Linked DNA regions of Saccharomyces cerevisiae S288C. Changing the gene in region 1 together with any one later gene gives a genetic interaction. Each region holds a gene or a part of one and is shown on either strand. Other genes may lie near its edges. The genes, in order: LSC2, CEM1, LAT1 and HTD2.

Region 1 (6,442 bases):
ATGTTTGATAACGGGGATTTTCAAACCGACAGCTTTTCCTATTTTTAGGTATCTAACAACATATTCTGTCATATCCACGAAATCCTTATAGAGATCCAGTGTTCTTTTTGCGTGCTCAATGGACAATTCGAAGAATGATTCTAAAAGTGTAATGACACCTTCATTAAGAGCATTGTACAGACCTAGTAAATCTTGTACTAACAATTGGAATGCATACAATAACAAATGGTTTTCTAAATCTGAAACAGAGTATTTATTCCTTATCAAGGCATTAATTTGAATTTCCAATGATTCAACATGATCTAGCTCTTCATCCATTGAAAGCTGGTTCTTACTGCCCAGCTTTAGCGAGGAGTAATTGTCTCGTAGGTGATCCATACCTAGCCTGCCATACTCTTCACAACGTGTTTTTAGGTATTCGTCGTATCTCTGCAAAGCCCTCATATCATTGGAAGACCACTTAGTAGTATGCGAAATCTTTCTCAATTGGAAAACATCCAAATTATGGGAATAGTGCCTTAGCGTGACATCTTTTTCGCCTTGTTGTATCATCAGATGCAACACAATCAATGCCTTATAAACAATGGTCCAGGCTGTATCAGACAACCTTATATCCAATGCGTGGGTAATCTCTTGCAATCCTCTTGCGCTCGAAGTGCCCGAGAGAATAGGGTCCACATATTTTTGCTTTGGAGGGGCCATCTTTATTTTGGTCGCCCCTTTAACCAACTTAGTATATAATGAAGACATTGTTTCACAAACACGCCTCTATATCTATTATAGGGGTAGCCGAGACAGTCGCGCTTGTATGCTTGATATTGTTACTCTCGTAGATGTTAGCAAGCGTAGCAAATTGGTACTCCTGCTACAGATTTATTTTTTCTCCTTCTAAAATTATAACTCAAGCAAGAAGCCCTAATAACAAGTTAACCAGACTAATAAGTCGACTTTTTCCTCGAATGTAGAAAAGAAACTTTTCTACGCAGCTGCAAACTTAATCTATCCCTCCACCAAAGCAAAATGAAAACAAAGCCATACTGGGAAAAATCTGAAAAAAAAAATGGTAGGAGTAAAAGAAAAGAAAAAATAAAGGTTACCCTGCAGTTTGGATAGTCGGGTAACATTTGGCCCTTTTCCTCCTTGATTGGATATTATTACCCCGATTACCCCTCATCTTGGGAGTGCCCCGCTTTTATTTCTCCCGCCAATCGGCTATTAACGGCTTTACGTCATTCCGTGGGCGGGTCAAGCGAGCCGCTCCCTGGTTTGGTCACGCAAAACCGAAAGGCTCAAACAAAACTAAGGCCATCATATATATATATGCGGCTGCGTGCGTGTATTCTCCCGGATAATATGGTGCGTTGCAATTGGAGTATTGGAGAAAATTTTCTTTTCCCTTTCATTACGGCGGAAATACTTCATATAAAAAAAAAGAATACAATCAGTCTTTAAGACTATACGCATAAGCATTCAAGACACATAGAAACACAAACCTATATTTTTAATGTCAGCATCAGCTTTTAATTTTGCCTTTAGAAGATTTTGGAATAGTGAAACAGGCCCTAAAACAGTACACTTCTGGGCCCCAACTTTGAAGTGGGGGCTGGTCTTCGCAGGGCTAAATGATATTAAGAGGCCTGTTGAGAAGGTATCAGGAGCACAAAATTTATCTTTATTAGCGACGGCACTGATTTGGACGCGTTGGTCGTTTGTCATCAAGCCCAAGAACTATCTGTTAGCTTCCGTCAATTTTTTCCTGGGTTGCACTGCAGGCTACCATCTAACAAGAATTGCTAACTTTAGGATACGGAACGGTGATTCTTTTAAACAGGTTATTCACTACATAATAAAAGGGGAGACTCCTGCAGCCGTCGCAGCAAAGCAAACTGCATCCACATCGATGAACAAAGGTGTGATCGGTACTAATCCGCCAATAACGCACTGATTACGTAAACGATAATATGTTCCTGAACTCGCATTTTTTTAATGATTTTTTATGACCTCTTATATATTCTTTCATTATATAACCTCTATATTACATCAAAAGATGGAAAAATATAAAAAAATTAAAAAAAAAAAAAAGAAATTTTTTCCAAAAGAGTATATTTATATGTATGTATACATGTAGGGAAAATAAGAAACTTTATTAATAGTAAAAAAGCATATATACTTTATTATTAACTCTTTTGTTTTTCTCGAGAAGCTTAATTTTGGGTCAATTCAACGACCTTTTTAGCAGCAGGATCTAATTCATCAAACGAATAAATCTTCACGCCTGACTTATTGATAATGTCGCGGCCTTCTTCTACTTTGGTACCTTGCAAACGTGCCACAATGGGGACCCTAACTTCTAGTTCTCTGGCGGCTTCTACCAGCCCCAGGGCAACATAGTCACATCTTACGATACCGCCGAAAATATTGACGAAAATTGCATCTACGTTCTTATTGGATAAGATCAATTCGAAACCTTGTTTGATGGTCTCAGGGGTGGCACCACCACCACAATCCAAAAAGTTCGCAGGATCGCCTCCATTTAATTTGATGACATCCATAGTAGCCATAGCCAAACCAGCACCATTGACTAAACATCCAATGTTACCCTTCAACTTAACAAAATTCAAATCATACTTCTTTGCCTTAACTTCATCAGGATCTTCTTGTGATAAGTCCCTCCAGGAATATATCTTTTCCTGTCTGAATGATGCGTTATCATCAAACCCAAATTTGGCGTCTGTACACATGATTTTGTGGGTTGGATCATGTTCAATTTCACTCAAAGGGTTAATCTCCACTTGTGTAGCATCCCTTTCCATGAATATTTTATACAAATTGGAAACAGCTTTTGCTGCCTCGTCTTGTGCATCGGGACTGAAACCGAGACTCTTGGCAACATCCTTGGCCATTTGTGGGCTCAATCCCTTTGAAGTTTCAATTGAAAATTTCTTTATAGCATCTGGGGTTCTCTCAGCCACCTCTTCAATATTCATACCACCTTGACTGGACGCAATGATCATCGGTTTCTTGGTTTGTCTGTCCATTAGAATAGATAAATAAGCTTCATGCTTTGTATCTACTCTTTTCACTATATATACAGCAGATACTGGCTTCCCCGCTATTCCCGTCTGTTTAGTAATCAGGTTATGATTGAGCATTTCTTTTGCAACATCCTCTGCCTGCTGAGGACTTTCGATCATGTGAACACCGCTTTTGTAACCGGTGTCGAAGTGACCTTTACCTCTACCTCCGGTCAATGCCTGCGCCTTGATGACCAGTTTGTTAGTGTTTAATTTCTTGGCTGCTTCGAAAGCCTCTTCGGGAGTGAACGCTGGAAATCCTTCTGGAGTACCAATACCGTATTCCCTCAATAACTGAGCTGACCTGTATTCATGAATTGACAAGTGTCTCCTTGCTTGTAAAGCAGCTTGCGCGTTTAGCCTGCTTAATTGCCCACACTTTGAAATTAGGGATAAGGATTTTCTTGAGTACATTTTGTTCAGTTGCAATGCTTCAGTATTTTTTTCGATTGTATTGACTCAATCCTTATTAATCCTAACTACCTAAAAGTCAGTTACAAAAAAACTGGACTATCGCTCTATAGTCACTGTTATTTTTCGAGAGAAAACGTCAAAGTGCTGATAAGGAAAACGTCGATCTTATATAAAACCTCAAAGATGTTGACTACGCGGCAATTGAAAGGCCAACCAACTTTTAGAATACTCACTCCGCCGCTGCGGGGAAAAGCCGAGAATTCCCGATGAACACATAATCGATACCAGTTGGAGCATTTTTCTCTGTACCAAGACATAAAAAGAGTTTTTTTTAGTATCTACCTGGCTTTGGTGTTCCATTCAAGGTAGAGAAGTCCTCATACAGTTGGAGAGATGAATGTATCTGTGTATATGTATGTATATATTAATATGGCTACGATGTCGTCTAATACCCCTTCTTCTTTTGTTTGGTGATGTGTGCACGTAACACTTTTTGCTTGTCTCGTAGTGACATTTTTTGTTTACCTCTAACAGATCTCTTGTGAATAGACATAACAAAGTTCTTCCTTCTTTCTTTTTCTCTGTTGGTAGTAGAACGCATGTTGTCACGCTTACCGCGTCTACTACCAAATTTGTCTCTACCTTCACGACCTTCCAACACCTTTTGTAATCTTTCCTCACGAGACTGTTTGTATTTGATAGGGCCTGTTAGTGTACTTGCATCAACTAACTCTTCACGCTTGTCTTGTTTGTGGATACCCATTATTTTAGCAACGCTTTCCTCATTACGCAATTCTTGTAGTTTAGCGAAATCTGCCGGAGTTAAAATACGTGTAGAAGCAATTTCACGGAAGGCAGCTTCGGGATCTATATCTGCATCTTCTTGCTCATCCTTCACTTCTTTTTCATCGTCATCATCGCTTAGTTCCAAATCGGAATCTGATTCCTTGCCCTTAGCATTGTCTTTTTCATCGTCACTATCTTCCATATCAACGTCATATTCTTTATCACTATCCATGGTGACCCACTCACCGTCGACATCGTCTTCTTCGCTATCGACATCTACTTCCCAGTTGGCATCAGCGTCTTCATTTTCACTCTCTTCACCATGTTCTTTCTTCCATTTGGCTAACAGTTCGATACCAGCAATCCCTTGAACACTGTTGTCGGCACCAAATTGCGGTCTTTTTGAATCTTTACCTCCTTTCTTGGCTTCTTGTACTTCCATGGCGGCATTCTTACCACGATCCTTCTTCTTTAGCATTTCTGGTGCCACGTCTCTATACAACGCTATCAATGACTTGGCAGCCATATTGACACCTTTAGCTTTAGACCCCTTATATTCTACCAGATCCTGTAGTAGAATCTCATCGATAGCCAAAGGTGCACGAGAGCATATTTCTCTAATGGTATTAATGCCTGCAGCAGCGACTTCATTGGCAACACCGTCTGATACAAACTCGTCTGCAATCTTTCTCACCATGACATTTATAACTTCAGGAGGGACAAGATCATGACATGCTTGGGCACATGCGGACATAATTCTTGTAACATCTCTTTGTTTCGGAGTTAAGTACTTTAAAAAAAAAGTATAAATTCCTAAAACAATTAACTTATGGGTACCAATCAACCTTGATAACAGCTGCATCAAAGATATTTTTTGTTCCATGTCAAATTTGTTTTTCGTTTTGCCTGAAAGATGTTCCTTAAACAATTTTTCGGCAAATCCTTGTGGATCTCTCAAAAGGTGGATAGCACTGAAGTTTAAATACCCTTGAGGAGCACCCGGTCCGTTCTTCTTCTTCTTCTTCACAGTTTTTATGGCATTCTCCAGCTTCTTACCACGTCTACCCGTTTTTTTATTGACTTGCATCTTATGCCTTAATGCATCTAAATCAAACCCATCCTCATCCTCGGAATTTTCTTCAAAATTTTCTTCACGTTCTCTGTCAGCATCCAAAAAAAACATCACACCAGACATGACAATCTTAACATCCTGATGTAATGCTGCTTGGGTCATAATTTCTACTGTTCTTGAATCATCCCAAATACCACGTCTCCAAAGTTCTCTGGTTAATTTTGTGGCCCAGATTCCCTGGGAATCTGGTTGATCTAACAAATTAAAGCAAACGGCCTGCGTAGATTTGTTCAATTTTTGATTTTTACCATTAGTATTACAACTTTTTAATAAAGAAATTAAATTTGTATAAATGATTTTCCTCAATTCCTTGGCGTGTGAATTAACGCCGAGTGAATTACCATGGGAAGAGTAAGCAACCAATAAAGGAAATAAGCTTTGAATTAATTCCTCAGCAGTAATGACGTCCTTATTCCTTAACATCGTCAAACAACTTAAGATTTTTTCTTTCAATTCAAATGGCAAGGACTTATGGTGTTCCAGCAAAAGCTGCTTTAATTCAGACGGGAAGTTTGCAGTTTCACGAGGAAAACATGAGCAGACTTGAGATACGAAGCCAACCAATTCAATAAGTTGCGAAGTTGAAGTGCTCATGGTGGTACCGTTAGTACCTGCCATTGTAGAAGATCCATTTCCTACATCGAGCCCATTAGTGGCAGCTGCAGAATCACCTCCAGCAAGCCCATTTAACATAAAAATGTCCCTTAGCGATTCATAATGTGCATATTGTTGAAGAAACTCCTCTTGATAGGACTCTGGGTCACGCTTTACCAAATTCTGTAAAAGAATGATATTTGTTGGGAGCATAGCTGCTCTACTTCTTCTACCCATTGTTGATGCCCTTGATTGGTATATTCAGTGCGTCTTGTGCTTCCTCCTTAACTATTATTACTTATTCAAAAAAGTGACGTTTGATATGTTTTTTTAGTGGTAGAACGTTCTATCTGTTAAGCGTGTTATGGTTATCTGCGATGAGATGAGTTTAAAATTTTCATTTTTTAGCCGATCAAGCAAAAGAAAAGAAAAAAAAAAAAAA
Region 2 (6,319 bases), on another chromosome or scaffold:
TCTCGCCGCTCATTCTCTACTAGCACTTTACAACGTTGACAGCCACTGTATGTGTAATACAGTGAACCGCCGACTCTTCGGATTTAATAACACAGATTTATTTAGAATAATCTACACATGTTTACGTATGCAACAAATTTTGCACCTTCATATACAAACAACTGCGGTCGTTTAAAAAGTGGGAAAGAACCGAAACTAGAATGAAAAACTCCACCAAAACGGCTTGAGCCTTTATCTTCTGTAACCAGAGCGGTTGCCTCTCCTGTTTTTACTTACTCTGGAGCGGTTGTTTGCATTTTTGTTTCTATTTTTAAATTTACCGTTATTGCCACTTTCAGGTTCATTTTTCCTACTGACAAGGCCCAGTTCTTCAGCCAACTTGCTATTCAAGTCAACACCAAACTTCTCCACACGATTTATCTGTCTTTGTAAAGAGTCAATATCCGCTTGATCTTGACCGAATTTGTTAGCGCGGTGCAGTTTCTTATTTAAAAGATCCAATGCTTTGGCCTTAATTTCTTCTGGTGACAAAGCGGGAGCAGCAGTGGAAGCAGCAGCTTGTTCGTTCTCTGAAGCAGTAGCAGAAGGTCCATCAGAGGGCTTTTGAACGTCCTTATTTTCCTCCTTGGGTTCGTTTGTTTCTTTAGGCTCGCTTGAAACTTCCTTTTTTTCAGTAATGTTCTGGGAGGCTGGTTCTTCTATCGCCGCAGGTTCTGACCCTTGTTCCTGGTTTTGTTCCTGTGGAGAAACTTCACTTTCACCCTTTGATTCTTCATCGTCCTTTATCAGTCTTTGAACTAGTTCATTCTTCAATCCGCCTACAGACAGATTTCTCTTGGTCAGTAAATCTTTCAATTGAACAACAGTAAGGGAAGAATAATCTGCCATTGTAAGTGCTTGTGCTGGCTCCAAGAACAATTCTAGTGGTGAAAAAAATTCTATTCAATATACAGATATCTTTGTAACTTCTGAAAGTAGCGCATCCTGAAAGGACACATTTGAAGAGTCACTATTCAACTTTCTTCTCCCATTCAGCATTATCACGCCCTTCCACCAACGCTGGTTGCATTGTGTTTTCTTACTTCGGCTAGAGACGCCGGGTAATAAAATATATATCCTCGAATGAACCGCTGGCCTCGGCCATTTTCATATGACTTCATATCATTAATATGGCCGTAGGTTAAGCAATGCTACGTGAAAGATACCAATTCCAATCGTCTGCTTTCTCTCAAGAGGAGACTTTGCGTTCTTTAAAGGAGCAGAGAAAGAGGGAAACGGTGAAAAACTTCAATATTGATAACATCCATCAGCGTCTAAATTCCTATGCCTCCTTCGAAAATGGTCAATGTTATACCCTCTCCCATTAGATATTACCGTAGCGTACGTATTTGGCCCTGTCCTTTGGGGTTTGGCCTTCTCAAGTATTTTGGCACCTCGCCCTGAACGAAAAGCTGGCACTTTGTCCCCAGCCAAACTCTTCTCTCTAATATCGTCTTTAACGACAAGGTAAAAAGATTTCTGCAGTGTTCCGTCTGCGTCATCATCTGTGCCCCACAATCCGCGGCGTTTCCGTGTAAGCCGTCAAGTGAGGACTTTTCGGATGCTGAAAGAAAGTACGCTCGGAAAAACTACATAGCTGCCCCCCTAAACGGGCCTCCCACGTGACGTAAAGTAGGAATAATAAGAAGCCAAGTCGTTTCTTTTTATTCTAAATAAGTTCGTTTCTTTTGATGTTGTCATTTTCAGAAATATATATATATGCGCTTAAATACACAAGCTAAAACAACATAGTTAGGATTGCCAAAGGTTTCTTTTCTACTCAATTTGGTCTAACTCTTTTCATATTAATAGCGCCAACCAGCTAGTGTTTACCAGATCAGTGGAAAAACATAAAACAATAAAAACAATATTCGGAATGGGATTGACTACTAAACCTCTATCTTTGAAAGTTAACGCCGCTTTGTTCGACGTCGACGGTACCATTATCATCTCTCAACCAGCCATTGCTGCATTCTGGAGGGATTTCGGTAAGGACAAACCTTATTTCGATGCTGAACACGTTATCCAAGTCTCGCATGGTTGGAGAACGTTTGATGCCATTGCTAAGTTCGCTCCAGACTTTGCCAATGAAGAGTATGTTAACAAATTAGAAGCTGAAATTCCGGTCAAGTACGGTGAAAAATCCATTGAAGTCCCAGGTGCAGTTAAGCTGTGCAACGCTTTGAACGCTCTACCAAAAGAGAAATGGGCTGTGGCAACTTCCGGTACCCGTGATATGGCACAAAAATGGTTCGAGCATCTGGGAATCAGGAGACCAAAGTACTTCATTACCGCTAATGATGTCAAACAGGGTAAGCCTCATCCAGAACCATATCTGAAGGGCAGGAATGGCTTAGGATATCCGATCAATGAGCAAGACCCTTCCAAATCTAAGGTAGTAGTATTTGAAGACGCTCCAGCAGGTATTGCCGCCGGAAAAGCCGCCGGTTGTAAGATCATTGGTATTGCCACTACTTTCGACTTGGACTTCCTAAAGGAAAAAGGCTGTGACATCATTGTCAAAAACCACGAATCCATCAGAGTTGGCGGCTACAATGCCGAAACAGACGAAGTTGAATTCATTTTTGACGACTACTTATATGCTAAGGACGATCTGTTGAAATGGTAATCCTCTAAAATCGAACATATTTGAGTAATAATTCTCAGATACAGTCCTATTCTATATTCGCCACAAAACAAGTAATGATGCTAAAAAACGACACATTTATAAAATCACATCTTATTGATTAAATAAATACGTAGATAGATTTTTTTTTTTAAAACATATAGTGTGCTATTATTTCTGACTCTGTCTCATCTCAGAAAAATAAATGATAAAAAAGGAAGTAAAATCCTTAAACGTTATCAGGTTATTAGCAACTTGAAAGTGACAGGAGCCACAACGGATTAAAATTTAATTTCTAGTAAAGAAATGTCAAGAAGAGTGGTTATCACAGGATTGGGCTGTGTAACGCCGTTGGGAAGATCATTAAGTGAGTCATGGGGGAATCTGCTCTCTTCCAAAAATGGACTCACACCAATCACATCTTTGCCCAACTATAATGAGGACTACAAACTCAGAGAAAAAAGTATCCCATCAACGATAACAGTGGGGAAGATTCCAGAGAATTTTCAAAACGAAAATTCAGCCATCAATAAACTGCTGTTCACTAGCCAGGATGAGAGAAGAACCTCAAGCTTTATCAAGCTAGCACTACGTACAACTTATGAAGCGCTTCACAATGCTGGTCTCTTGAACCCAAATGATATAACCATCAATACATCTCTGTGCAATCTGGATCACTTTGGTTGCCTGATAGGTTCTGGTATAGGATCCATTCAAGACATATACCAAACTTCTCTACAATTCCATAACGACAATAAAAGAATAAATCCATATTTCGTCCCTAAAATCCTTACAAATATGGCAGCTGGTAATGTTTCCATCAAGTTTAACCTTAGAGGATTATCCCATAGTGTTTCCACAGCATGCGCAACAGGTAATAACTCCATTGGCGATGCATTCAATTTTATTCGGTTAGGCATGCAAGACATCTGTGTCGCCGGTGCAAGTGAAACGAGTTTGCATCCGTTAAGTTTAGCAGGTTTCATCAGAGCAAAGTCGATTACTACAAACGGGATCTCTAGACCCTTTGATACACAACGTTCTGGATTCGTACTTGGTGAAGGATGCGGAATGATTGTCATGGAATCGCTAGAACATGCTCAAAAGAGAAATGCAAACATAATTTCTGAGCTCGTGGGCTATGGTTTAAGCAGTGATGCCTGCCATATTACCTCCCCTCCTGCTGATGGAAATGGTGCCAAAAGAGCAATAGAGATGGCTCTAAAAATGGCTAGATTAGAACCAACTGATGTTGACTACGTCAATGCACATGCTACATCAACTTTACTAGGCGATAAAGCAGAGTGTCTGGCAGTAGCCTCAGCACTCTTACCAGGAAGATCCAAAAGCAAGCCACTGTACATATCCAGTAACAAAGGTGCAATTGGCCATCTTTTAGGTGCAGCTGGCGCCGTAGAAAGTATATTTACAATTTGTTCCTTGAAGGATGATAAGATGCCGCATACCTTAAACCTGGACAATGTTCTGACTCTAGAAAATAACGAGGCCGATAAGCTACATTTCATAAGAGACAAACCTATTGTGGGAGCTAATCCGAAGTACGCATTATGCAACAGCTTCGGATTTGGAGGAGTTAACACATCTCTTCTCTTCAAGAAATGGGAAGGGAGTTAATATTATTAAACTTATATATATATCCCATTATAATCGTTTTTGAATTATATGCTATCTATTCGAATGTCGAGATTTATCCATTAAAACCAATCATTTCAATGATTAGCAAAAATATTAATCAATTAACATTTAGTCATCGACCGAAATATTTGAGTTCTAAAGGTCTTACAATGTTATAGATGATGAACGCCCAACTTCCGCCTAACTCGAACCCAATGTCACCGCCGTACTCTCCGATCAAACGACTGATCTCACCAACCCAATAAGTTTGGCACATACCCAACGCTACTCCAAAGGCACCAGCAATTAAGGCAGCAGTACCTGCGATACCGATAGGTAGATGCTCCCAATTATCCCAATCATCAATATTGTAAGCACTGAAGGAACGCCTATAAATAAAATGCTCTGAACATGCAATGGCAATATAAATAGCCAAATAATAACCAATGGAATCCATAAAATTCTCCATAAAGCCGTCAAAGTAATAGGTAGCAGGGATGGAAATACCTAAAGTGGCAGCATTACCTGCCATTGTCCAGACTACTCTTGGTATTTTAGCCAAAGGTGCCCACAAAGCTTGAGCGGATAAAGCGACAGTGTACATTCCAGGGACATTATTAGCAACAGTTGAAAGAGCCAACAAAACACAGCAGAATTGACCGAATCCGTTTAGAGAGTTAGGGACCAGGATAGCATATATGACACCACCCATGGCGTTTTTATCATAATATGACTTCCAGGTTGGGTCATTAAGGGCCGCCATACCGCAAGCAGCACCAAGAATCATGGTGAAAAATAGAGGGAACGCTAGACCGGCTACTACGGAAAAAAAAATTTTGTATTTACTTGTGGTCTTTGGCATATAAACAGTGTAATCTGCTGCATAAGTCGCCCAACCCGCAGCTGACCCAAAAACAGATGAACCAAAAGAAAGAACACCACCTGCAGTAGTTGCACCCCCTACCCATTCACCACCTTTAAATTTTCCTGATCTCGATAGTTGGGCAATAATGACCAAAAAGGCAGCAAAATTGGGTACCCACGACCATTTTTCGTATGCATGAACGACACTGTAACCAAAAAAAGTCACAAGCACGGTACCACCAGCAATAATCAAACAACCTGCCCAAATAGGACAGTTGTGCCCAGAGCCTTCATTCACCATATTCAAAAGTTGAGCAGAAACAGAAATATTTAAAACACACCAACCGACACAAGCAATGACATTAACAAGAGAGAAAAATCTTGCTGTGATGTTACCAGCCAAATATCTCGATAGAATCATCTGTCTTAGGCCCAGTTCTACCCCAAAAAGTGAGAATAATGCAACAGGGATCAAACCCAAAATATTGAAAAAAATGATAACTAAAACACTTTGGCCGAAATTTAGGCCAAATACTAGAGGACCCAAGGCACCTACGGAATAGGCTACAATCACCATATTAGCTGAAAACCATATAGTGGCGGCATTGAGTATCGAGTCATCATTTTTTTCATCTTCTGTAACTGGTTCAATACCTTTCGTCTCAGCATTTAAAGCAGCTGCAATCCTATTGAAAAAGGACGGCTTATTATCAATGAATTCGTTGGTTCTATGCAATTCTACACCCTCATAGTATACATCAGCGGCGGAAGATTTTGTGTCCAGAGCTCCAGATTCGAGGTCCCTTAGTTCACTCCCCGCATCTTTTATATCGACCATTGACATGGCTAACTTTTCTGGCATACTTTTCTTCGATATTTTAGTCACCTTCTGAAACACCCTCCATTTCAATCTGACAAGCGTATCTTATAACAAACAATTTGGTTATCATGTTATATATTTGTCTGGTTTACAAATCACCAGTGCAAAAACAGACTACATTTATGTCATCTGCATGCATTAGGCTTTCAACAGACTAGAAATCAAAATTTATCAACTAAACAGAAATAATGCAACGTCTCATAAAGTATTTACTGGCGATCGGAGTAACTCTTAGAACCACAGTCACGTGATATGCTTATCAGAATTGCGTTATC
Region 3 (3,799 bases), on another chromosome or scaffold:
TCGCTGCAAATCCTAAATAAACTATCGGACGTGTTCCTCGAGCAGCGCCATTGTCAATCAACCTTGCCTACGGTAATATACCATCAACCTGCAATATTATCGCCCTTAGCCAAGACGGATCCGCAAAATAAGCAAGTCACGAAGAGATTCGAAGTCTTCATCAAAGGTAAGGAATACATCAATGCTTACGAAGAGGAAAATTGCCCCCAATTACAACTGCAGAAGTTTCTACAACAAAAGCAGATTAACGAATTGACAGGAAACAAAACTGAGACCTTATCGCCTGTTATTGACTACCAGTATGTTGAGACGATGAAATACGGTATGCCTCCAGTAGGTGGCTTTGGCCTTGGCATAGATAGATTGTGCATGCTATTTTGCGACAAGAAGAGGATAGAAGAGGTTCTGCCCTTTGGCTGTGTGGATGATGTAAACAGGCAGTAAATTTTGCGACGCCTGCCAATGCTTTTGTAAATAAATCAGACATATACTGTAAATAATTAGAATGGCATTTAATTTTTTTTTTTTCTCTACACCAATAAACTACGCTACGCGAAAAATCCAATATAAATATTCAGTTATAGCTAATGAGAGTGTCGAAAAACCTTGAAAACAACTACTGCACACCAAATTGATACGATTAAATGGTACCCCCCACGGTAGAAGCATCCTTGGAGTCTCCTTACACTAAGTCGTACTTTTCACCTGTCCCAAGCGCGCTCTTGGAACAGAATGACTCTCCAATAATAATGGGTATCGATGAAGCTGGCAGAGGGCCCGTATTAGGGCCAATGGTCTACGCAGTAGCCTATTCTACACAGAAATATCAGGACGAAACTATAATCCCTAACTACGAGTTTGACGACTCTAAAAAACTTACAGATCCCATCAGAAGAATGCTGTTTTCCAAGATATACCAGGACAACGAAGAACTAACCCAGATCGGCTACGCAACTACGTGCATCACTCCGTTGGATATCTCTAGAGGAATGAGCAAGTTCCCACCGACGAGAAACTATAACTTGAATGAGCAGGCGCACGATGTCACAATGGCACTCATTGATGGCGTGATAAAGCAGAACGTGAAGCTCAGTCACGTGTATGTGGATACTGTTGGACCACCAGCGTCCTATCAGAAGAAACTGGAGCAACGATTTCCTGGTGTCAAGTTTACGGTCGCCAAGAAGGCAGACTCGCTCTACTGCATGGTCAGTGTGGCGAGTGTCGTTGCAAAAGTGACCAGAGATATACTAGTCGAATCCTTGAAGAGGGATCCCGATGAGATCCTGGGTTCTGGATACCCCTCCGACCCGAAGACAGTCGCATGGCTGAAGCGCAACCAGACAAGTCTTATGGGCTGGCCCGCCAACATGGTAAGATTCTCATGGCAGACATGCCAGACTCTGTTAGATGACGCCAGTAAGAATAGTATCCCTATCAAGTGGGAAGAACAATATATGGACAGCAGGAAGAACGCCGCACAAAAAACCAAGCAATTGCAGCTCCAGATGGTCGCTAAGCCTGTTAGAAGGAAGAGGCTGAGAACCCTAGATAATTGGTACCGGTGATCACCTCCAGTTTGCACATACTATATATCTTCATGTAATACTACATATGTCATAACTTCAATAACTCATACAAGTCATCTGCTACTATGCTTTGCCGTTTCTACTATCCGTGAAGCGTGACCGGCCCTTCTCACCCCCCGTGTTACGCAAAGAACAACAAGAGGTCGAGACAACCAACCGGAACGACTAGAAGAGAGGCTGTTACGTTTCCTGTTTGTTCACGCTCAACATCTTCCATTGCTGTAAACTGCATCCAGTAAAATTAATAGTTATTAGCGTACTATGTCTGCCTTTGTCAGGGTGGTTCCAAGAATATCCAGAAGTTCAGTACTCACCAGATCATTGAGACTGCAATTGAGATGCTACGCATCGTACCCAGAGCACACCATTATTGGTATGCCGGCACTGTCTCCTACGATGACGCAAGGTAATCTTGCTGCTTGGACTAAGAAGGAAGGTGACCAATTGTCTCCCGGTGAAGTTATTGCCGAAATAGAAACAGACAAGGCTCAAATGGACTTTGAGTTCCAAGAAGATGGTTACTTAGCCAAGATTCTAGTTCCTGAAGGTACAAAGGACATTCCTGTCAACAAGCCTATTGCCGTCTATGTGGAGGACAAAGCTGATGTGCCAGCTTTTAAGGACTTTAAGCTGGAGGATTCAGGTTCTGATTCAAAGACCAGTACGAAGGCTCAGCCTGCCGAACCACAGGCAGAAAAGAAACAAGAAGCGCCAGCTGAAGAGACCAAGACTTCTGCACCTGAAGCTAAGAAATCTGACGTTGCTGCTCCTCAAGGTAGGATTTTTGCCTCTCCACTTGCCAAGACTATCGCCTTGGAAAAGGGTATTTCTTTGAAGGATGTTCACGGCACTGGACCCCGCGGTAGAATTACCAAGGCTGACATTGAGTCATATCTAGAAAAGTCGTCTAAGCAGTCTTCTCAAACCAGTGGTGCTGCCGCCGCCACTCCTGCCGCCGCTACCTCAAGCACTACTGCTGGCTCTGCTCCATCGCCTTCTTCTACAGCATCATATGAGGATGTTCCAATTTCAACCATGAGAAGCATCATTGGAGAACGTTTATTGCAATCTACTCAAGGCATTCCATCATACATCGTTTCCTCCAAGATATCCATCTCCAAACTTTTGAAATTGAGACAGTCCTTGAACGCTACAGCAAACGACAAGTACAAACTGTCCATTAATGACCTATTAGTAAAAGCCATCACTGTTGCGGCTAAGAGGGTGCCAGATGCCAATGCCTACTGGTTACCTAATGAGAACGTTATCCGTAAATTCAAGAATGTCGATGTCTCAGTCGCTGTTGCCACACCAACAGGATTATTGACACCAATTGTCAAGAATTGTGAGGCCAAGGGCTTGTCGCAAATCTCTAACGAAATCAAGGAACTAGTCAAGCGTGCCAGAATAAACAAATTGGCACCAGAGGAATTCCAAGGTGGGACCATTTGCATATCCAATATGGGCATGAATAATGCTGTTAACATGTTTACTTCGATTATCAACCCACCACAGTCTACAATCTTGGCCATCGCTACTGTTGAAAGGGTCGCTGTGGAAGACGCCGCTGCTGAGAACGGATTCTCCTTTGATAACCAGGTTACCATAACAGGGACCTTTGATCATAGAACCATTGATGGCGCCAAAGGTGCAGAATTCATGAAGGAATTGAAAACTGTTATTGAAAATCCTTTGGAAATGCTATTGTGAGGTTAGAATGAAAATAAAATTCGCCAGTAAATGCGTATCTTGGAGAAAATATCAATTTGTTATTTTGTATATATAAAAAATTAAAAAAAAAAAAAAAAAAATACTCAAATACTCAAATACGTATACATTATACTGAAATACTTCGCTTGTCTTCGAATCTAAATCCTCTCTCTCTTCTGTCTCAAAATGATATAAATAAATCACGTCAAACGGTGCGTCAACATCTTTGTTTTTTCACCTCATGTGGAATTGGTTGAAATTAACAAAGGAGTGGGATATAGGATATAACGCATAAAGTTTAGCATACTACTTTCGTATATTATTGTTCGGTGAAAGAAACTAGTTCCCTCTTATCTCTCAATATTTGCCAAAATTAGCTTTTAACAAATAAACCATGAGTTTCCTACCATCTTTTATCTTAAGCGATGAATCTAAAGAACGTATTTCCAAAATTTTAACTTTGACTCATAATGTAGCACATTATGGCTGGATCCCATTTG
Region 4 (6,114 bases), on another chromosome or scaffold:
ATGTTTTGCCAAGTCCCGAGTTCATTAATAGTGAGAGCCAAGAACCATACTCATAATTTGCCCGGCAACATAACCGTAGTTCTCGGAGTCAATGGTTACATATGGTTAAGGAAAACATCTCAGATGGACTTAGCGAGGGATACGCCGTCTGCAAATAACAGTTCCTCAATTAAATCAACTGGACCCACTGGTGCGGTATCATTAAATCCCTCCATAACAAGACTGGAAGAAGAGTCTTCATGGCAAATATATTCGGATGAAAACGATCCTTCCATATCGAACAACATACGACAAGCAATTTGCCGGTATGCGAACGTGATCAAAGCGTTAGCGTTCTGTGAAATAGGCATTACTCAACAACGTATAGTAAGTGCTTACGAAGCTAGTATGGTTTATTCAAACGTAGGTGAACTGATTGAGAAAAATGTAATGGAATCCATAGGCAGTGACATTCTTACCGCCGAAAAAATGAGAGGTAACGGCAACTAATAGGAATACAAAAGCCGCTGTTTACACATTTATAAACTACACAGCAGACTCCAACGCAATTTATGTGTATAAACTTACATAATGTCATGGCTATGTACACACGATTAGTACGTATAGAAATGCAATTGACTCATCTTTATTGCAGACATTACATCATATTTTGTTGATATTATAGTAATATGTTCATTTTTTTATTTATCTCTATATTAAAACAAAACTTTTGCACTAAAAAAAGAAATAGTACAGATTCATTTTTTTTTTTTTCATCTCAAAATTCTCTCATCAATTCTTAACTTTTTTGATTGGTTTACCACTGGCAAAGGTAGCAGCAACAATCAATGGAAGAACAGTGGTGACATCAGCAAAAAGTTTGACGGATTTGGCTTCAGCCTTGATCTTACCCCAAGACACAGCTTCGTCAGGTCTTGCACCTGCATCAGAACCATCGTATTCTTGACCAGTGTTAATGTAAACGGCATAATCAGCACCATTTCTCATCAAACAAGCATTGGCAATGTGGTGCTTGATCAAACCACCACCCAAGATGATCATACCGGCTCTGTAAGCGGCCATGGACATTGAATTGATTTTGCGGATATCTCCTACAATGTCAACTCTTAGTTGTTTTGGAGATGCTTTAAAAGTATGGAAAAACAACATGTCACCGATTGAACCATCAGTCAAAGATGGACAAAAGATTGGAATTTTATTCTTGTGGGCCCAGTACAATACGGAGGATTCGTCGTTGATTTCCTTACCAAAACGATCTATCATCTTAGATGGGGTCCAGATTGGTGAATCCACGTCTTGGTTAGCCTCTAAACAGTCAGCGCCATGTTTCTTTACGTATTCATCTTGTTCTTCCAACATCTTATCCAAAATTGGGACAATCCATTCTTCAAACTTACAGTAGTTATCATTTGGAACAAGCAAGTTACCAATACGATTCATACCTTGGTCACGCAAAGATTTACCTTTCAAAGCAAATTCACCCAAGTAAGTTGGAGCAAGACATTTGATCAAATCTTCTTCCACACCACCAGCAGAAGTAACGACAGCATCAACCATTTTGTGTTGCACCAAATAACGTAAAGTTTCACGTACACCGGAACTGATCAAGTTAGAAGTATAACCCATGAAGATAGTAGTCTTTTGGTACCCTTCCTCATCGAAGCAACCTTTCTTTTCATGGTCATCCAATTCGTCAATATGCTTACCTCTCCATGATCTCATACTATCAATAATCTCACAGGCAGTACCAACAGAACTAGCTTGGAAACCCATGGTCTTCATAGCTTCAATTAAATCAGTTGCTCTCATATTAGTGGCTTCAGGCTTTGAGTAATCAATACCTTGAACCTTAACGAAGTCATCTGGAATAGGAACAGATGCTTTCAAGACAGCGTCTTGTAGTAACTCTGGGAGTTTTTCGTTGATATCGGACATCTTTTTTGCTTTGACTTGTATATAAGTTAACTAAGCAAAACACGACTTTACTCTGCAGTTAGATACAAAACTGATAGAGGGAAGTACTTTGCGTCAAAATGGAAATATACATTACATTTAATTTTTCACTTTACTTTTTATTTTTTTTTCCCACCTTTTTTTCAGTTCTTCCCGTAATGCGTTTACCGTCAACCTGGTGATGGCGAGATATTATGGTAATCTCGTTCGTGACCTTCCACTGTTCAGCAGCTACTAGTATTATTTCAAGAGACAAGAAACACACAGGTAGTGATTATCTGCAGAGAGACAATTACTGGTAGTCAACAGAAAACATCAGCTTTCATGTAGACTAAGTTGGCTTTCTGGAGGTCCCTAATTTGAAATGTGTACATTCCGCTCGAAGAGCTTAAAGACTGACATATGCTCAAAGTAGTGTTTGGATATATATAATTCAAATTGCGGTATCGCAACTGTCTGATTGGTTGTTCGAGAAAAGGTTGGATGCATTTCTGTAGTAATTGGACCGAGAAGGGTCCTTGCATGATAATATCGTCGTAGCCTTCAACATAGCGACTGTACTCTTTGTCCCAATGAATTCGGTGCGGATTCAAAGACATCTGACCATAAGCTACAATATCCATATCAGTAACAGTAAAATTTTTTAAGATCTTATAGTTCTCCTCTCCTACGGGCATCTTGACTGCAGTCTTGTTTGCGGGTGAATTGGTGTACATTAATACCCTTCTCTCGAATAAGCAAATGTCCATTGGACTCGACACATTTTCGGGCCTTTCTTGTAAAAGGGTTCTTTCAATACAGACAACATGTTCATCTCGTATTTTTTTTACGTATTTGATTGATTCGTGGCATGTATACTCCTGGTCTAAGGTGACTGGTAAATACTGAACAAGCTCTCCTTGTCCCCAAATCCTTCTACGGTAGCGTAAATCAGGGTTTCCTAGCAAACTTGCAGGATTTTGATAGTTAAAATAACCATCTCTATCCAATTTTTCGAATGATGGTGGGAAGAACAGGAAATGTTCTCCCAGTTGAAGATGCTTCGTTGCCTTTGATACAGGGAGTCTCCTACAAAGTAAACTATCAAACGCTTTGGTTCGGTGACTAGATAAGACATCCCTGAAAATCCACGTTTTGGATTTCATGCTGATAAGCTGTCTTTAGATAAGTGGACGATTGCCCACCTTCAATGTACCAGCCACGCTCATGTATCGAAACAGTAGCTTAAAATGGCGTAAAAAAGGTAAGATCGAATTTTTTTTCACATGCCTTCTGAGATCTACGTTTCCTTTGGGCTATGATTTAAAAGACAAAGAGTTTATATGTATCAAGTATGCAATTTATCTAAAGTGAAGAAGTATACGTGCGTTGGTGGATAGCCAGGCTTAACTAAAATTTTCTTGGTACCGGAGAACAATTTATTCGACCTCACTAAATAAGTCACTATCTAGATCCTCTGGTACGCTACCATAATGTTCGCTGTCACTTGATGAAGACTCATCATCGCTCATCGCATCATCTTTTCCTTGACCTTCACCTCCTTCTGCTGCTCTAGCTTTTCTTCTTTCCAATTTACGTTGCTTTTTAGCGTCTTTAACAGCCTTCTTTTTAGCAATGTTTTCTTCTTGTTCCTTCTTTCTTTGTTCCTTCAGCCTCATTTTTGCAGCGTGTCTCTTTTCTAAAGCTTTGATTTCTTCGCTTGATTTTTGAACAAATTCATGATGTAACACTTTACCTGAACAAATACCTTCTTCTATCTTGACCAGTTTTAAAGTTAATCTTGGTCCTAATTCAGTTAGTTTGATAGCTTTCTTACGTGGGGTTGGTTGCAAGTTTTCTGAAGGCTTAGGTTCCTCCATTTCCACATCTTCTTCTTCTGTTTCTTTTTCACGCTCTTTATTATCCTTCTTTTCGACCGGTGTTCTTTGGGACTTCAAACTTTGAGAATGCTTTGCCTTCACGTCCTGATTATCAACTACTCTCACGATAGCGTCATCTTCAATTTCAGATTCTGATGTATAGGCGCCTAAGTCGTGATCTAATATCAAAGAAGAAATATCTTCTTTTCGATGCAAATTCGGCACTGTTTTACTTAGATTATTTTTGGCTTTATAAAGCCTTTTTAGGTTTCTAGAGATCTCTACTTCTCGAATGTCAATAAAATAGTGGCGCATAGAAATTTCCCCTGTTTCCCTGTCTTTATTGATCATAAATACACGTTTGATAGAATTCAAAGAAGTTCTCGCAGGATTCAGAGGTGGGAAAATATTCTGAAACATAGAAACAATGACCTTCTCCACGTTTACATCCTGGTCGTCTTCACCAGATCTTTTGGATGTGGAAAACCCGTTTAGCACTAGCAATGGAGGATTTAATACATCATCATTATTCAACGATTTAGGTCTCTTCAAAAATTTTTTGATATCTCTACCCAGAGAATAGTCCAATACTTGAAAAGTAACAGTAGGACCTTGCGGAGTTCTAGCTATCTTTAGGGAGACATTTCCTGTTTTTTCAGATTGAGTGAACATAAAAAGATGCGTAACACCTAATGGGCCACACATAACAACGAAATCCTTCAGTTTATTGGACTTGCGCTCTTTCAATTTTATAGCCGTATGTGGTTGCATGATTTGGCGGAAGTCCTTTACTAATTGGTTCAGAGAATGGTTGGCCAAAGAAGTTTGACCCACTCTGATTACCATTGACTTAGGTATACCTTGTTCCTGCTCAGGTGTAAGCTGTGCATGTGTTCTTTTCTTTTGTCTTCTCTTGGCCATCTTGAAATTTTATTGTCTGCTATATCTGGATTATACTCTTTTATTATTAAACATACTACTCACTCAAACCCAGATATCGAACTAATATCGCGATGAGATGAGCTTCTTCGTCTACTTTTTTTTTTTTTTTTTTTTCAGTGAAAAATTTCAATTTCGTCTAAGGCGATAAAAATGAAAAATTTAAAATTAATCAATGAGCATTTAGCAATTGTACATGGTATACACAGAATTGTGACATATCTTAGAAGCAATATATACCAAGATTCTGTTAAGTACTTCACTGAATCAGCTATAAAAATGTCCAAAATTGTTAAGAGAAAGGAAAAGAAGGCTAACGATGAATTAACTTCTTTAGCAGAAAAGATTAGAGCAAAAGCTTTGGAAAATCAAAAGAAGCTTATAGAAGCAGAAAAGGAAGGTGGTTCAGAGTCCGATTCTGAAGAAGATGCTACTGCTGAAAAGAAAAAGGTTTTGAAATCAAAAAGCAAATCCACAGTATCAACCCAAAATGAAAATACTAATGAAGATGAATCTTTTGAATCCTTTAGCGAACTGAATCTGGTCCCCGAATTAATTCAAGCTTGTAAGAACTTAAATTATTCCAAACCCACTCCCATTCAATCTAAGGCAATTCCTCCCGCGTTAGAAGGTCACGATATAATTGGACTTGCGCAAACAGGTTCTGGTAAAACTGCTGCATTTGCTATTCCCATTTTGAATCGGTTATGGCATGATCAGGAACCATACTATGCGTGCATTCTAGCTCCAACAAGAGAATTAGCACAACAGATCAAAGAAACATTTGACTCATTAGGATCCTTAATGGGCGTGAGATCGACATGTATTGTGGGTGGTATGAATATGATGGACCAGGCCAGAGACCTGATGAGAAAGCCACATATTATCATTGCTACACCTGGTAGATTAATGGACCATTTAGAGAATACCAAAGGGTTTTCACTGAGGAAACTGAAATTCTTGGTTATGGATGAAGCTGATAGATTATTAGACATGGAATTTGGACCTGTTCTTGATAGAATTTTAAAGATCATCCCAACCCAAGAAAGAACCACTTATCTTTTTTCCGCTACTATGACTTCCAAAATTGATAAATTACAAAGAGCAAGTTTGACAAATCCTGTGAAATGTGCCGTGTCAAACAAATACCAAACCGTAGATACATTAGTGCAAACACTGATGGTCGTTCCAGGTGGTCTTAAGAACACATACCTAATTTATTTATTAAATGAATTTATTGGAAAGACGATGATCATTTTTACAAGAACCAAGGCCAACGCGGAAAGGTTGTCAGGATTATGTAATTTGCTCGAGTTTAGTGCCACTGCGCTACATGGTGATTTGAATCAAAACCAGAGAATGG

Evidence for each region.
Region 2: mutations in LSC2 (region 1) and CEM1 together harm fitness more than expected from each alone (negative genetic interaction), as found in Saccharomyces cerevisiae (3 studies listed by BioGRID).
Region 3: mutations in LSC2 (region 1) and LAT1 together harm fitness more than expected from each alone (negative genetic interaction), as found in Saccharomyces cerevisiae (4 studies listed by BioGRID).
Region 4: mutations in LSC2 (region 1) and HTD2 together harm fitness more than expected from each alone (negative genetic interaction), as found in Saccharomyces cerevisiae (3 studies listed by BioGRID).

What each region holds. Positions count from the first base shown.
Region 1 is NC_001139.9:975,832-982,273, forward strand, and holds LSC2 (succinate--CoA ligase (GDP-forming) subunit beta), read right to left. Parts: upstream 3,489-6,442; coding exon 2,205-3,488; downstream 1-2,204. Other genes in the region: YAP1802 (Yap1802p), read right to left, coding at 1-750; MPC3 (mitochondrial pyruvate carrier), read left to right, coding at 1,505-1,945; SDA1 (Sda1p), read right to left, coding at 3,934-6,237. UniProt on the Saccharomyces cerevisiae protein: Succinyl-CoA synthetase functions in the citric acid cycle (TCA), coupling the hydrolysis of succinyl-CoA to the synthesis of ATP and thus represents the only step of substrate-level phosphorylation in the TCA.
Region 2 is NC_001137.3:276,279-282,597, reverse strand, and holds CEM1 (fatty acid synthase CEM1), read left to right. Parts: upstream 1-2,971; coding exon 2,972-4,300; downstream 4,301-6,319. Other genes in the region: THO1 (Tho1p), read right to left, coding at 232-888; glycerol-1-phosphatase GPP2, read left to right, coding at 1,916-2,668; FCY22 (purine-cytosine permease), read right to left, coding at 4,434-6,026. UniProt on the Saccharomyces cerevisiae protein: Possibly involved in the synthesis of a specialized molecule, probably related to a fatty acid, which is essential for mitochondrial respiration. Is essential for oxygen uptake and the presence of cytochromes A and B.
Region 3 is NC_001146.8:489,673-493,471, forward strand, and holds LAT1 (dihydrolipoyllysine-residue acetyltransferase), read left to right. Parts: upstream 1-1,850; coding exon 1,851-3,299; downstream 3,300-3,799. Other genes in the region: lysine--tRNA ligase MSK1, read left to right, coding at 1-444; ribonuclease H2 catalytic subunit RNH201, read left to right, coding at 645-1,568; TOM7 (Tom7p), read left to right, coding at 3,694-3,799. UniProt on the Saccharomyces cerevisiae protein: The pyruvate dehydrogenase complex catalyzes the overall conversion of pyruvate to acetyl-CoA and CO(2).
Region 4 is NC_001140.6:227,954-234,067, reverse strand, and holds HTD2 (hydroxyacyl-thioester dehydratase HTD2), read right to left. Parts: upstream 3,099-6,114; coding exon 2,256-3,098; downstream 1-2,255. Other genes in the region: exosome non-catalytic core subunit RRP4, read left to right, coding at 1-489; DYS1 (deoxyhypusine synthase), read right to left, coding at 772-1,935; SSF1 (rRNA-binding ribosome biosynthesis protein), read right to left, coding at 3,372-4,733; RNA-dependent ATPase RRP3, read left to right, coding at 5,031-6,114. UniProt on the Saccharomyces cerevisiae protein: Mitochondrial 3-hydroxyacyl-thioester dehydratase involved in fatty acid biosynthesis. Required for respiratory growth and for normal mitochondrial morphology.